Linked DNA regions of Oryctolagus cuniculus. The protein of the gene in region 3 binds, or shares a complex with, the protein of the main gene of each other region. Links are inferred from orthologs where the notes say so. Each region holds a gene or a part of one and is shown on either strand. Other genes may lie near its edges.

Region 1 (3,824 bases), on a different chromosome or scaffold from region 3:
ATTCTGTGGAAGGATGATAGTGTCCAGAATTCAGAAAACAGCATTCTCGCTCTCTCTCTCGCTCTCTCTCTCTCTCTCTCACACACACACACACAGTGCCTGGTTCTCTACCAAAAATGCTCCTCACGACAATGGCAACAGAGGGCACTGTTCTTCCCACAGGTTCCCTTGGGACACAGGTGCAGCAGCTCACTGGGCAGATACATGCCCCTGGAGAGGTCTGTGTGGGAAGAAGGGAGGAGTTTATCTGCCCGGTCCTTTCCTGCTAACCCTTGGTCAGATTCACCCCGTAGGGAGTTAATCTCTCCTCATTTCCAGGTTGCCTCATCTGGCCCTTTCAGCAACCAGGATGCCAGATCCCACTCCCTTCCCTATGGCCTTTTATCTGAATCTACAGGTGGCTGATGGGAGAGCCAGGGAGAGAGCCCTGCGTTCCCTCAGGCACTGGATGACCCTGGCAGCAGTGTGATGCAGGACTTGAAAGGAGCCTTTGAAAGAAGGATGCAGTCAAAGGGATTTGAGTGTCACCAAAGAGGCAGGGTGCTATGTCATTTTTCAGTGGAGGAAAAGCCACCTATCTTCATTCATTTTCTGCTGCTGTAACAAAATACCTGGGCCTTGTGGGGAGCAACTCGGACTAGACTAAGTTACTGGAATTAAGACTTATTCTATGCATCTGCTCTCCCACAATATGGCGCTGGGAGAGGAGGAAACAGCTTCTACACAGCTGCCTCCAGTTCGACCAATAACCTGCAAGAGCTGATCCTGCTCCTGATTGGAGGAGAGCAGCGTACTCGGTGTGTGGGTAGCAGAGTTGGGATTGGTAGAAGAGGACTATAAAGGAGGAGAGAGACAACATGCACAAGGAACATCTAAAGGGAACACCTGAGCAGCCCCCGAGAGAGCCGGCCGGCGGTGTGCCGCTCCCCCGCTGAAGTGGGGAAAGTGGCAGGGGGAGCCGCCCTTCCACGGAGGTGGAAGGATCGGCAGCCAACCCAGGAAGGACCAGCAGCAAACCCGGGAAGGGCCGAGCAGACAAAAGAACAGCGCAGGGTCCTGTGTTGTTCCTCCATGAAGAGGGAGAGCGACAGGCCTGGATAATTTAGAATGAGTAGGAATTTCTTTGACTCACGGTGCTGGAGACTGGGAAGTCCACTTTTCTAACCCACACACTCCCGGGATGACAATGTGAATCTGCTCATGAGAGCACTCGGGATCTAATTACTTCTTCAAGGTCCCAGCTGTCCACACTGTCTGCCCTGGGCACTGGGTTTCCAAACCATGAACTTAGAAGGATGCATTCAAACCACAACACCACCGTGGCTCCTCACGCCTTGCATGGGAGAACCTACCATTTCCGATGTAGGAAATTCCAAAGTGAATAATCATGAATGGAAAAAATAAGCAGTATCCATACAAAGTTCTTGTAAGAATAAAACAGGATATTAGAATCTGAATGTCGCAGTAGCAACTTGCTGAGCAGAGACACTGTAAGGCTACACTACAGGAACTAAATGTGGAATGAAGCAGGAGCTACACACATGCAAACATACAGACAAGATAAAGACATAAAATGACAGCCGACAAAATTCAGGAAAGAAACTGAAGCAAAAGACAAATCCACTCGAAACAAAGAGTAGAGTATGCCAGGGACAGTGCAGCCATCCCCTGCCCTGCAGGGTCCCCTTCCATGCATCTGAAAGTGCAAACATTTGCTGTCACTTTCCAGAGAGAATGCATGCATGGAAACCTTTATTCCAGTCTATCATTATAATAATTTATTATTCGCTGTTCATCTCTTGCCTATGAAAATTAAACTAGAGAATAAAAGTTTACCATAGGCATGTACACATAGGACAAAACCTAGCATATATAGGGTTCAGTACTGTCCGAGGTCTCAGGCAGCTACTGGGGTGATGGATGCATCCCCCTAGAGAAGGGGGATGCTGTATACATGACCAGACTTGCACAGCGGGATGGATGCCAAAGGAGTCAAGACAATGAACCTGAATGAGGTTAAAAAGGGTTAGAGAGAAAGTGGCAGGTTATAGAAGGCATGGAGAGATCCAGTAAAAGTGAAATTGCAGTCCCTGGGGAAGAATATGCAAACAGTGGGATAGACCTAATATTTGAAACCTACAACTCAATTTATTTATTAAATAAATAAATGAAGACCTGACTCTACATGTCGGCAAGAATATCTGGAGAAACTGGCACAGGATGGAAAATTGTGAGAGATATCAGAGCTATTCAACTTTAAAGGTGGACACTTTGGGGCATGTGTTTGGCTTTGCAGCTTAGATTCCAGCTAAGATGATCCATGATCCACATTAGAGTTCCTGGGTTCGATTCCTGGCTCCTACTTTTGACCCCTGGAAGGCAGCACATGGTAGCTCAAGCAGTTGGGTCCCTGCCAAGCACACGGGAGACCTGGATGGAGTTCCCAGCTCCTAGCTTTGGCTGCTGCAGGAATTTGGGGATGGAACCAGTGGATAGGAATGCCTCTCTCTCTCTCTCTCTCTCTCTCTTTCACAGCATACACACAGATATCCATGTGCATGCTGCTTCTTGCTTCTTGAATGAATAAATATAAAAAGAAATGCACTCTGGAAATTCAGACAAAAAGAACAAATCCCAAAGAAAAGAGTCAGGTTGGCCACAGACTTTATCTCAACAGCTCCATGCAAAACAAAGCAATAATTAAACCAATTCTTTCAAAAATCAAAGAAAACGAGAGCCAAGGCTGGAGCTCAGCAGGGCAGAGAGGTGGGTGGCACTGGAACCGGCAGGACCCTGCAGGCCCCAGGGGAGAAGCTCGGGTTTTCTTCCCAGAGCTACAGGAAGCCATTAGAAAGTGTGGCAGGAGACCCTGATGTCACATCTAACCTAAGGAGTCTGGCTGCAGGGGTGAAGACCTGGCAGAGCCTACAGAGACAGCAGCCTGCTCTGCAGTAGGGGCACCAGTAGACAGCTGAGCACAGTGCATTCTGGGTGTACAGTAGACAGGACTTCTGGATGGACTGGGTATGAAGCGGGAGGGAAAGGAAGGACACAGGAATTTTAGGCAGGTGCTTGGCTTGAGTGGCCAACTGAACACTGATGCCATTTACTAAGATGGGCCCGAGAGGTCAAAGGGTTTGTTTGGGGGATGAAGGCAGAGCTTCTCCATGGCTCCTTGTCCAGGCCTGGGACAAATCTGACCGGTGTGGTGTCTGTTTCAGTCAAGGCTGGGCTGTGTGGTTCCCAGAGCCCCTGAGCACACTTCTTGCTCCAGTTGTATCATGATCCTGATCCATCCCCAACCCCGGGTCCAGTTCCCTCTCCTCTTGTCCCGCTAACGCTGCCTTCCTTTGTCTTGACAGCTGTAAAGGACCTGGTCAGGCTGTGGATGTGACCAGGGGGCACCCTGGCCCCCATGGGCGGCGGCGGCGGCCTGACCGGGGAGCGCAAGGAGGCCAGGTGTTTTACAACAGCGAGTATGGAGAGCTGTCACGGCCACGCGACGACAGTGACAGCTCCCCAGGGTCTGCCAGCCCACCCTTCTTCACAGACAGCAGCTACTAAGGCAGCAGCAGGCAAGACCCTCTGCCCTCCTGAGCCTGGGCCCTGACAGTTGGGGGTAGGGAGTGTGGGGCGTGCTGGCAGGGGCGCCCGGCTGGAAATACCTCCTCTTTGATTCTAACCCTGGAGGAGCTTCCTCTCCCTCTGCGGCCTCCAGAGCCAGGAAGAGCAGAACTGGCTCACGGGCTCCCCTGCAGCCTCCCACCATACCTGTCCCCAGCCTCCCCTAGCAGTCCCTCTCCACTAGATGCCAATGCCATTTA
Region 2 (3,824 bases), on a different chromosome or scaffold from region 3:
TGAGAGCAAACAACCCCAGGTCACAAAGAAAGCAGGCCGTGTGTGCTCAGGCTGAAGTCCCGGAGTCTCCACCCTGCCTACTGCATTCTCGCTACACCACTGACCACTCGCACAGCCACTGACCACTCGCACAGCCATGGAATTGTAACCACGCCAGCGCAGAGCTCACACGTTACACAGAAAGGGCTCTGGACACCACACACTTGACGAAGTATTTTAATACAACACCTTCCCCTTCTCGGGCTCGCAAAATCAGGATCACCTTCTAACAGACGGACGCATGAAATGGGGCGAGCGTTTCGCTTTTCTCCAACGAGCTATTCGGAAGTGAGAGGCTCTGCTAGAAGTCGGTGGTGTTTCCTAGCCTCCTTCATACACTAGCATACTAGCATCGTATCATACAGTCATGTTCCCAGTACGCCACCCGTACAAGGGGACTTCAAAAAGCTCACGGAAAATGGAATTAAAAGATCAATTTATTTTGGTGCACAAGTTTTTGAAATCCATGCATAGCGGTTTTTTTTTGTAATACTCATTTCCATGAACTTTTGGAAGACCCCTTCTATCACTGCACTATTCTCCCATGAGAGAGAGAGAGAGAGAGAGAGAGAGAGAGAGAGAGATTTGAATTAAAGGACTTCAAGCTTACTTTGTTTTTGCCTTCAATCAGGGCAAACTGATTTTTGCTGCCTTCAATTCTATTGCCTCCCTGGAAATCCTCCACGTTTCTCCATTCTTTGCAAGTGTATGGGTTTGTCATTAAGGCCGACTGGCTGTAAGAAAGAGCGAACAGATCACTTAGGATTTTGGCTTTCCCTTTTCATAGAAGTCTATTATTTTTTAGCTGTAATATTTAACAATGTTGTTAACGTTTCACCACACTCCCTTCCTGGGTAGACATTATATACTTACACCTATAGGCTACCTTTCTCTTGAAAACAGAGGAATTAATATTGTAAAGTGAGGGGCCGTAGGACTGATCGAAACGTAGAAAAAGAACGGTCCGTCGTCACGTATGTGGTAGGATTCGGTCCCCAGATCAATAGCAAGGAGAGGACTCCGACCCGGGGCCCTGTGTTCCTAGAAACAGCTGTCAGGGCAGCCACACTGCGAGATGTGGCGCCAATTAAAAATAGGCCTGGACAGAGGGGGGACGGTTCGAGGCGGACCCACTCAGGATACAGGAGGGAAGCAGCTATTTTGGGAACAGCCTCCATTCATAAACGTGACGACAGACATTCACGTTGGTTCAGTTCAAAGGAAGGCAGGGAAACTGCGAAGCCACTGGATTTGTGAAACTCATTCCCCGGCCAGCGGCTGTGGAAGAAGCTCCTCGTGGCCATGGCGAAAACAACAACAGGAAGTAGCCGCGAGGGGCTGATGGGCTGCTTGTTGTCCTGTCCTGTCCCCTGAGGATGTCCGCACTTGTGTGAGAACTTGATAAACCAGGCCCGAGGCTGCACCCACCGGAAGGCAACAGCGCACTGGCCCCCGATTGGGCGGAGAGAAAGCCAAGATGGAAAATCATCCAATTGAGCGAAGCACCTGCTATTGGAGAAGTGTGCCCCAGGCCGCCCCAAGAAGAGACAGCCAGCTTGTCCCAGAGTGGGACCCCCGAGCAAGCCAAGACAGCTCTGACACAAAACCCCAGGAAGCGGGAGGAGACCTCGCCCCCCTACACACACAGGGGTCGCTGTCTTGGTTTAGAAGGCGGTGACAAGGAGCTGCACGGCCCCAGGCCCACTCACCTGGCCTGCTCCGAGCACTCCTCCTCCAGCTGCCAATACCAGCGGATGTGGTGCGGGGGAGGCACGGCGTACACGGTGCAGGTCAGCGTCTGCGAGCTGCCATACTGGTAGGAGTCCACGGGCGAGATCAGAGACTTCTCCCCAATCTGCGGCGGCACTGGAGGCGGGACAGTGAATCCGTGAACTGTCAGTCAGCTCAGGGGGTCGCACAGGAGAGGCGTTCCCGACCAAAGGAGAGCTTTGCATTGTTTTGTTTTGTGTTTAACGTTTTTACGCTGCGATTAGCCTGCACTACAGGAACAGTGTGCTATGTAAGACGTGCCTACACTGCAAGCTGATCGCCTCCAGGCACTTGGCACTTCCGTTTCCTTTTCATTTCTCCCTGTGTGCAGCCTGCCCTCTTCCAGGGCTGCCGGCACTGCACACTGAGGTGCCGTGAGCTACAGTCACCCCTCCAGGCCTGGGGCGCTCTGCCGCTTAACGCCATCTATGCTTCTGGGCCCACTTTGGACTTCAAAGGACAGCTGGGACAGGACAGCTGAGGTCCCGTGATACCCATCCTAAGAAGCAGACAGGGGCCGGCGCTGTGGTGTAGCAGGTAAAGCCACCGCCTGCAGTGCCAGCATCGCACTATGTCCTTCTGGTCGACCAGAAGGCTCAGGTGGTACTTCCATTACCCCCCTTCTCCCATGCAGCAGGGCAAATGCTAAGTGAATCAGATGTGCGCTGACTTCATGAATGGATGAAATGGGGGCGATTCCCTGCCCGTGCCTCCGTCTTTATTTCTTGTATGCTGCCTCAGCTTTCCGGCCACTGCCTCTTCTCCAAGCCCCGCGCCCTCACTGCACACGAGCACCTGTTCAGAACACGCGATCTTTAAACCCATCCCTGCAAAAAGGAGGGACGCCACGCTCAGTGCCATGAGAACGGCACACACATGAGCATTTTGAAGACCCCAAGAAGTTCTGCAATTACAAAAAGTATTTCACACCATCAGGGCAGCTTCCCCACGAGTGTGACCATTGGACCCTTCCTTCCCCATCCCAAACATTTCGTTAGCCCTTTGAGTGTGGGACAACAAGTCGTCCTGAAATTAAAAACTTACTGTCGTCCCTCCAGCTCAGAGTCAGATGCTGTACTCCCGTCCAGAACAGTAAAAGTTCCAACCAAGCCAACGCCCTCTGAGCTGGGACCTGCCCATGCCCCCCCTGAAACGCCAAGTGCAGCCTTGAACTTCAAGAAGAGCCTCGGACATCTGTGCACCAGGCGCGCAGCTCCACGAGACGGGAGCGCGGGTCCCGCGGCCCAGGCTGACCACTGTCCCTGGGGGCGTTCTTGGCCACCGAGCCAACCATCTGCTTTAATCTTGCATTTGGCCACCAAACAGCTCACGGACAGGGCCTCTTGAGCCAAAACACGGCTGCAGGGTAGCACACAGTCCCACATCTCATTGCAAGTCTGCTGCCCCAGCCAGTTTTGTACACGAGCTCTGTCATGATATGGGTGACGGAGCAGGACACAAAGCCTTGGTGGCTTAGTGGCACAGGAAGACAAAACCACGCCCCTCAAGTCAGTCTGGGAGAACAGAGCAGACTCACCATTCACAACCAGAGACACCACGTGGCTCTGCTTCTCCCTGGTGATGGGGTTGGTGAGGATGACGGTGTAGTTTCCCGTGTCTTTCTCACTCGCCTCCGAGATGGTCAGTACGTGCCCCACTTTAATCGTGTGATTGGACTCCAGGAGTCTTCCATTTTTATACCTATGATTCCAAAAAAGCAAAAAAACCCGGGAATGAGTGTCATGGAAGCATCTGCCTTCTTGTGAAACAACACTCTTTATTTCATCCCAGTAGTTACCATTTGATTTCAGGCGGTGGGTAGCCCAGCCACCTCACGGGGACTCGGATGCGCGCTCCCACCGCGGCCTCCACCAAGGACTCCATGCCACTCCCAAAAGCAACAAAAGGCTTCTCTGGAAGAAAACAAAAGTCGTTATTCTCATAGGTGTCAACTTTCGGAGAGTGGCTGTTGGGCTTGGTTATCGTTGTTATTGTTATTCTTTCTTATTTCATGG
Region 3 (3,824 bases):
TACTGACACCTCACAGAGAACATTAACGTAGAATTCTAGGCTGTAGAAAACCAGCAGAGTTGAATGAACGGGAGATGAAAGAAAGGTGAATTCTAATGCCAAATACCTAGTTACTGAGCAACTTTGAACAGGACCAAGAGCTTGGTTGCCAAAGTACACTCAGCATCACAGATGCCAACAAACCAGAAGAAATCAGAAACATTTAGAAACTGATAGATAGAAGAAAACAGAGACGAAGATGCATAAGTTAGGGAAGCAAATAGAAGAAATGTGGGAGAAAATACCAACAGCACAGATCTGCCTTAAACAGATCACCTTATTCTTTGAGGTTAAAGAATTTCTCAGACTAACACAGAACGTTCTTGAGTCCACTAATCTTACTTTTTTTTCTTGATGAAGAAGAGAATAAAACCAAGGTTTACGAAGTAAGTTTTCAGTAACTTTTAACAACATATTAACTGGGCTCTCCAATTCCATTACTTAGTATACATATTTCTAGATATAATTCTACAGTAAGTGGTAGTATTCTTTTTTGAGTTTTTGCATAAAAATCACCTGTACTTAGAATAGTTTTCCTAAATTCCATGTGAAGGTGTAATGGTTTTTGTTGGGTGTGAATGTGAGTGCTTGCAAGTATTTTGTAAATTTTTTACAAGATTTCTGAGTCTTATTGATCATCAGTTCCTTAGCCTCTGGGTCAAGGATGTAGACTTTACTCTGAATTTGGACCTGATTTTGGTCTCCAAGGCAGCTTGTCTCACTTTTTTGGGAGCAAAGTATCTCATGCAAGTTTAGCATTGGTTAATGAAAATGCTAGAATTTGTCTTCCAGAACTTATTAGCTACATTCTGATAAATGCTAGTTTTGGTTAAGAAACCTGCTTTTACTTGAGAACATTTTATTTCCAGTATGAGACCTTACACTATTTCTAAAGAACTCTTACCTGCATGTTTGATGTTGGAATTTCTTTCCTTTTAGAAAGCATTTTTGTGGATTTTCTGTACATTCACAGGCACATTTTCCAGGATTGAGGGGTTGGTTTCTTGGACAGGTTCTTTTACATACACACTGGCATGTGTTTTCATCAAATTCTCTGTTGGCCCCACATGAGCTGGGGAAAAGTTTGTTTTTACAGACACACTGGCATGAGTTTCTGTCGAGTTCTTTGTGGGGTCCACAGCTGGAAGGCCGAAGGCCCCCTTTGCAGACACACTGACAAGTCTCTTCATCCAGCTCCTTGTTGGGTCCACAGATGTTGTGAAATCCATCTGCAGAGTCTAGACAAACACAGAACATCCTGACTATACCTTAGTTGGTTCTGGTATGGGTTAATTAAAAGCATTTTAAAAATCTTCCTTTTTATGTTTTTCATTAAGTGGTTATGTACAAACATGGGTATGTTCCTTTACAAAAAAGTTCAAAACAATACCAAGATGAATAAAAAAAATGCTCCATTTTGTAGTCACTTATTTCAAAGAATGATGATCTGAATATTGCACATGTGGTTTTAATATTAAATTATGTGTTAATCAAAATATAGACTCTTGGCCTTTAGTTTTTGAAATATTATTCCGCTTACCATCTCCAGCATTTGAAGAAAAAATGAAGTCTTGCTGAGCCAGGCATCTGCAGATGTGATTATTCCACATGTAATTTGGGGGGCAAGTCTTGTTTGTTGCATCACACCTTTGGAAGAAACAGACAGGTTTAAGGAATGGTATAACTAGTACCTGGACGCGATCACTGGCTTTCCTCTCATGTTTTATATCAGTACGTGCCTCTAAAAAGCTTTGAAAGATATAAACATATATAAAATGATATGTGAAGTAGCCTCTCAAACTACTACCACCCACACTTGCATTCGAATTCTAATTTCAGTGGAGACCACTGTTAGTGGTATAGTCTTAAGATGCCAGTCTTTCCTCCTTTAATCAAATATATTAATTTTTATAATCACATCGTATTTTATTTTGTAAAAAAGATGCAATAAAGCCTTTTTATTACTCAAAATTCCTTTTTTCCACTAAACAATATATTATGAGAAAATGTATATATAATTTCATAAAGTTTTGCTACTTTTTAGTGTCTGCATAATACTCCATAAAAGCAAGGACTATTTGCATTTTATTAATACATTATAGTATCTATTTAAGTGATTCCAGTTTTTGGCTTCTTCAAACAATGATTTGTGATTATTTTAAAACTTGCTGTATATGAGTGAAATGGCCATCTTTTGATTTGAGTATTGTTAATAGCTCTGGCCTATATTCCTGTTGAACTAGTGTCTTTATTTTACTTGTTAAACTCTTTATTTAGAAGAGCATTAAGCCTTTGACCATAATGTAAATAAAAATATGGTATCTCAAAAATTGAGAACAAGAAAAAGAAAGAAAGAAAGGGGGAGGGGGGAGGAAGGAAGGAAGGAGAGATATGAAGAGAGAGAAGAATGGATGTGTTCTTATATTCCTGGAATTGTACATATGAAAAACAGATATTGATCTTAAAAAACTTGAGCTCTCTGCCAAAAATAGATAAAAGAAACATCTATACAAGAGGGTGCATCAAAAGGTTTGTGGAAAATATAATTTTAAAAAGTTTACTTTGATGCACCAATTTTTGAAACTCATGTATTTTTTCACAATTACACATCTTCTGTGAACTTCTGACTGCTAATATACATACCCTTGTTATTTTGTTATGAAATATAGCTCTCCACAGTTGTAAAGCCCCATTACTGAAGATTTCCATTCTGTGCTCCATCGAAAAGTCACTACTAAGCATGTTTTTGTTACATTGTTCTGGCTTTCCCTCTCTTCCCTCTTACCGCTCTTCCTTCTTTGTCATCCTCCTTCCACCTCCCTTTCTTCCTTATTTATTTTATTAGAAATTATGAACATATGTGTCTGGACTTGAGTCAAGTGTTCTAAATAGTGCTTGGATGCTTCGCTATCCCACTTTTGGCTCATTGGGACACCTGTGTGTTTGTGCCTGTAATGATATCAGCCCTTTATTTGACAGATCCTCTGCTGTCCAGGATGCACAGATATCATAAAATCATCTTGCTCATTTTTCTCTTCCACAACTGGAGCCAGTATTTCTCCAAGGAGCCCTAGTTCTTTTAGTTGGAAACTGACATTTAGAGGCTACTATTTGAGATAAGATGTGTTCAGTGCCATACAACTACATTTCTAGATCTCATAGGGTAGATCTAGAAAATGTAGAATGTTTCCCAAGTTAATGTTTACACCCCCCAAAAAGATTATATTTTTAATTATCAAATTACACAGTGTGTCTAAACCTATCACTATTTCATTTTTTGATTGATGTTGGTGGTACACATCAAGTGGAAACATTTATTTGTATCTTTCACCCTGGTACAATATCATAAACCACATTACAGGTGGCAAAGTATTCTTATATTTCAAATTGGTGGAATATAAGAATAGTGTGTAGAAATCTGAAGAAGTGCTCTGAATGGTTCAGATAGTCCTAAAGAAATCTTCACTGGGTTATACTCAGTGTGATAGTATACCTTTCATTGAAAATAGCCTGACATCTCTTAACGCTATATGAAAAGAATTTCTGAATAGAAGAAAAAGCAAATCTTAATTTTCAACTCTATTTTCTGTCAGCTTGAAAACCACCTATGAGGATTTATCAATGCTTTCCTGCTTAGCAGTCTCTACAGCAGCTCCAAGATGCAGGTTATCTCTATCACTTATTTTCAGCATGACAGTTTGGCTAAAATCACCCCCTAATTCTTCACACCATCACCTTCTGCAAGCAGTCGATGACTGCTGACTCTTATCACCTCATCTTTCTGT

What was found. The genes of interacting proteins can lie anywhere in the genome.
Region 1: the proteins of VEGFC (region 3) and FLT4 are in contact, whole or in part, in a crystal structure (PDB 4BSK), measured with the Homo sapiens proteins. The link is inferred for Oryctolagus cuniculus from reciprocal best matches to the Homo sapiens genes VEGFC and FLT4. Residues at the interface, in NP_005420.1 of Homo sapiens: Leu119, Asp123, Trp126, Gln130, Asn167, Arg210; in NP_891555.2 of Homo sapiens: Gln172, His199, Asp200, Ala201, Leu202, Tyr203.
Region 2: the proteins of VEGFC (region 3) and KDR are in contact, whole or in part, in a crystal structure (PDB 2X1W), measured with the Homo sapiens proteins. The link is inferred for Oryctolagus cuniculus from reciprocal best matches to the Homo sapiens genes VEGFC and KDR. Residues at the interface, in NP_005420.1 of Homo sapiens: Thr148, Asn149, Phe151, Lys153, Phe186, Ile188, Val190, Pro191, Leu192, Gln194, Pro196; in NP_002244.1 of Homo sapiens: Val135, Tyr137, Ile215, Val216, Val217, Val218, Asn253, Val254, Gly255, Ile256, Asp257, Phe258, Asn274, Arg275, Asp276, Phe288, Leu289, Ser310, Ser311, Gly312.

What each region holds. Positions count from the first base shown.
Region 1 is NC_091437.1:66,958,423-66,962,246, forward strand, and holds part of FLT4 (vascular endothelial growth factor receptor 3), read left to right. Parts: intron 1-3,362; coding exon 3,363-3,564; 3' UTR 3,565-3,824. UniProt on the Homo sapiens protein: Tyrosine-protein kinase that acts as a cell-surface receptor for VEGFC and VEGFD, and plays an essential role in adult lymphangiogenesis and in the development of the vascular network and the cardiovascular system during embryonic development.
Region 2 is NC_091439.1:109,289,131-109,292,954, reverse strand, and holds part of KDR (vascular endothelial growth factor receptor 2 precursor), read right to left. Parts: intron 3,723-3,824; coding exon 3,608-3,722; intron 3,511-3,607; coding exon 3,347-3,510; intron 1,906-3,346; coding exon 1,749-1,905; intron 774-1,748; coding exon 650-773; intron 1-649. UniProt on the Homo sapiens protein: Tyrosine-protein kinase that acts as a cell-surface receptor for VEGFA, VEGFC and VEGFD. Plays an essential role in the regulation of angiogenesis, vascular development, vascular permeability, and embryonic hematopoiesis.
Region 3 is NC_091433.1:58,680,133-58,683,956, forward strand, and holds part of VEGFC (vascular endothelial growth factor C), read right to left. Parts: intron 1,687-3,824; coding exon 1,580-1,686; intron 1,278-1,579; coding exon 944-1,277; intron 1-943. UniProt on the Homo sapiens protein: Growth factor active in angiogenesis, and endothelial cell growth, stimulating their proliferation and migration and also has effects on the permeability of blood vessels.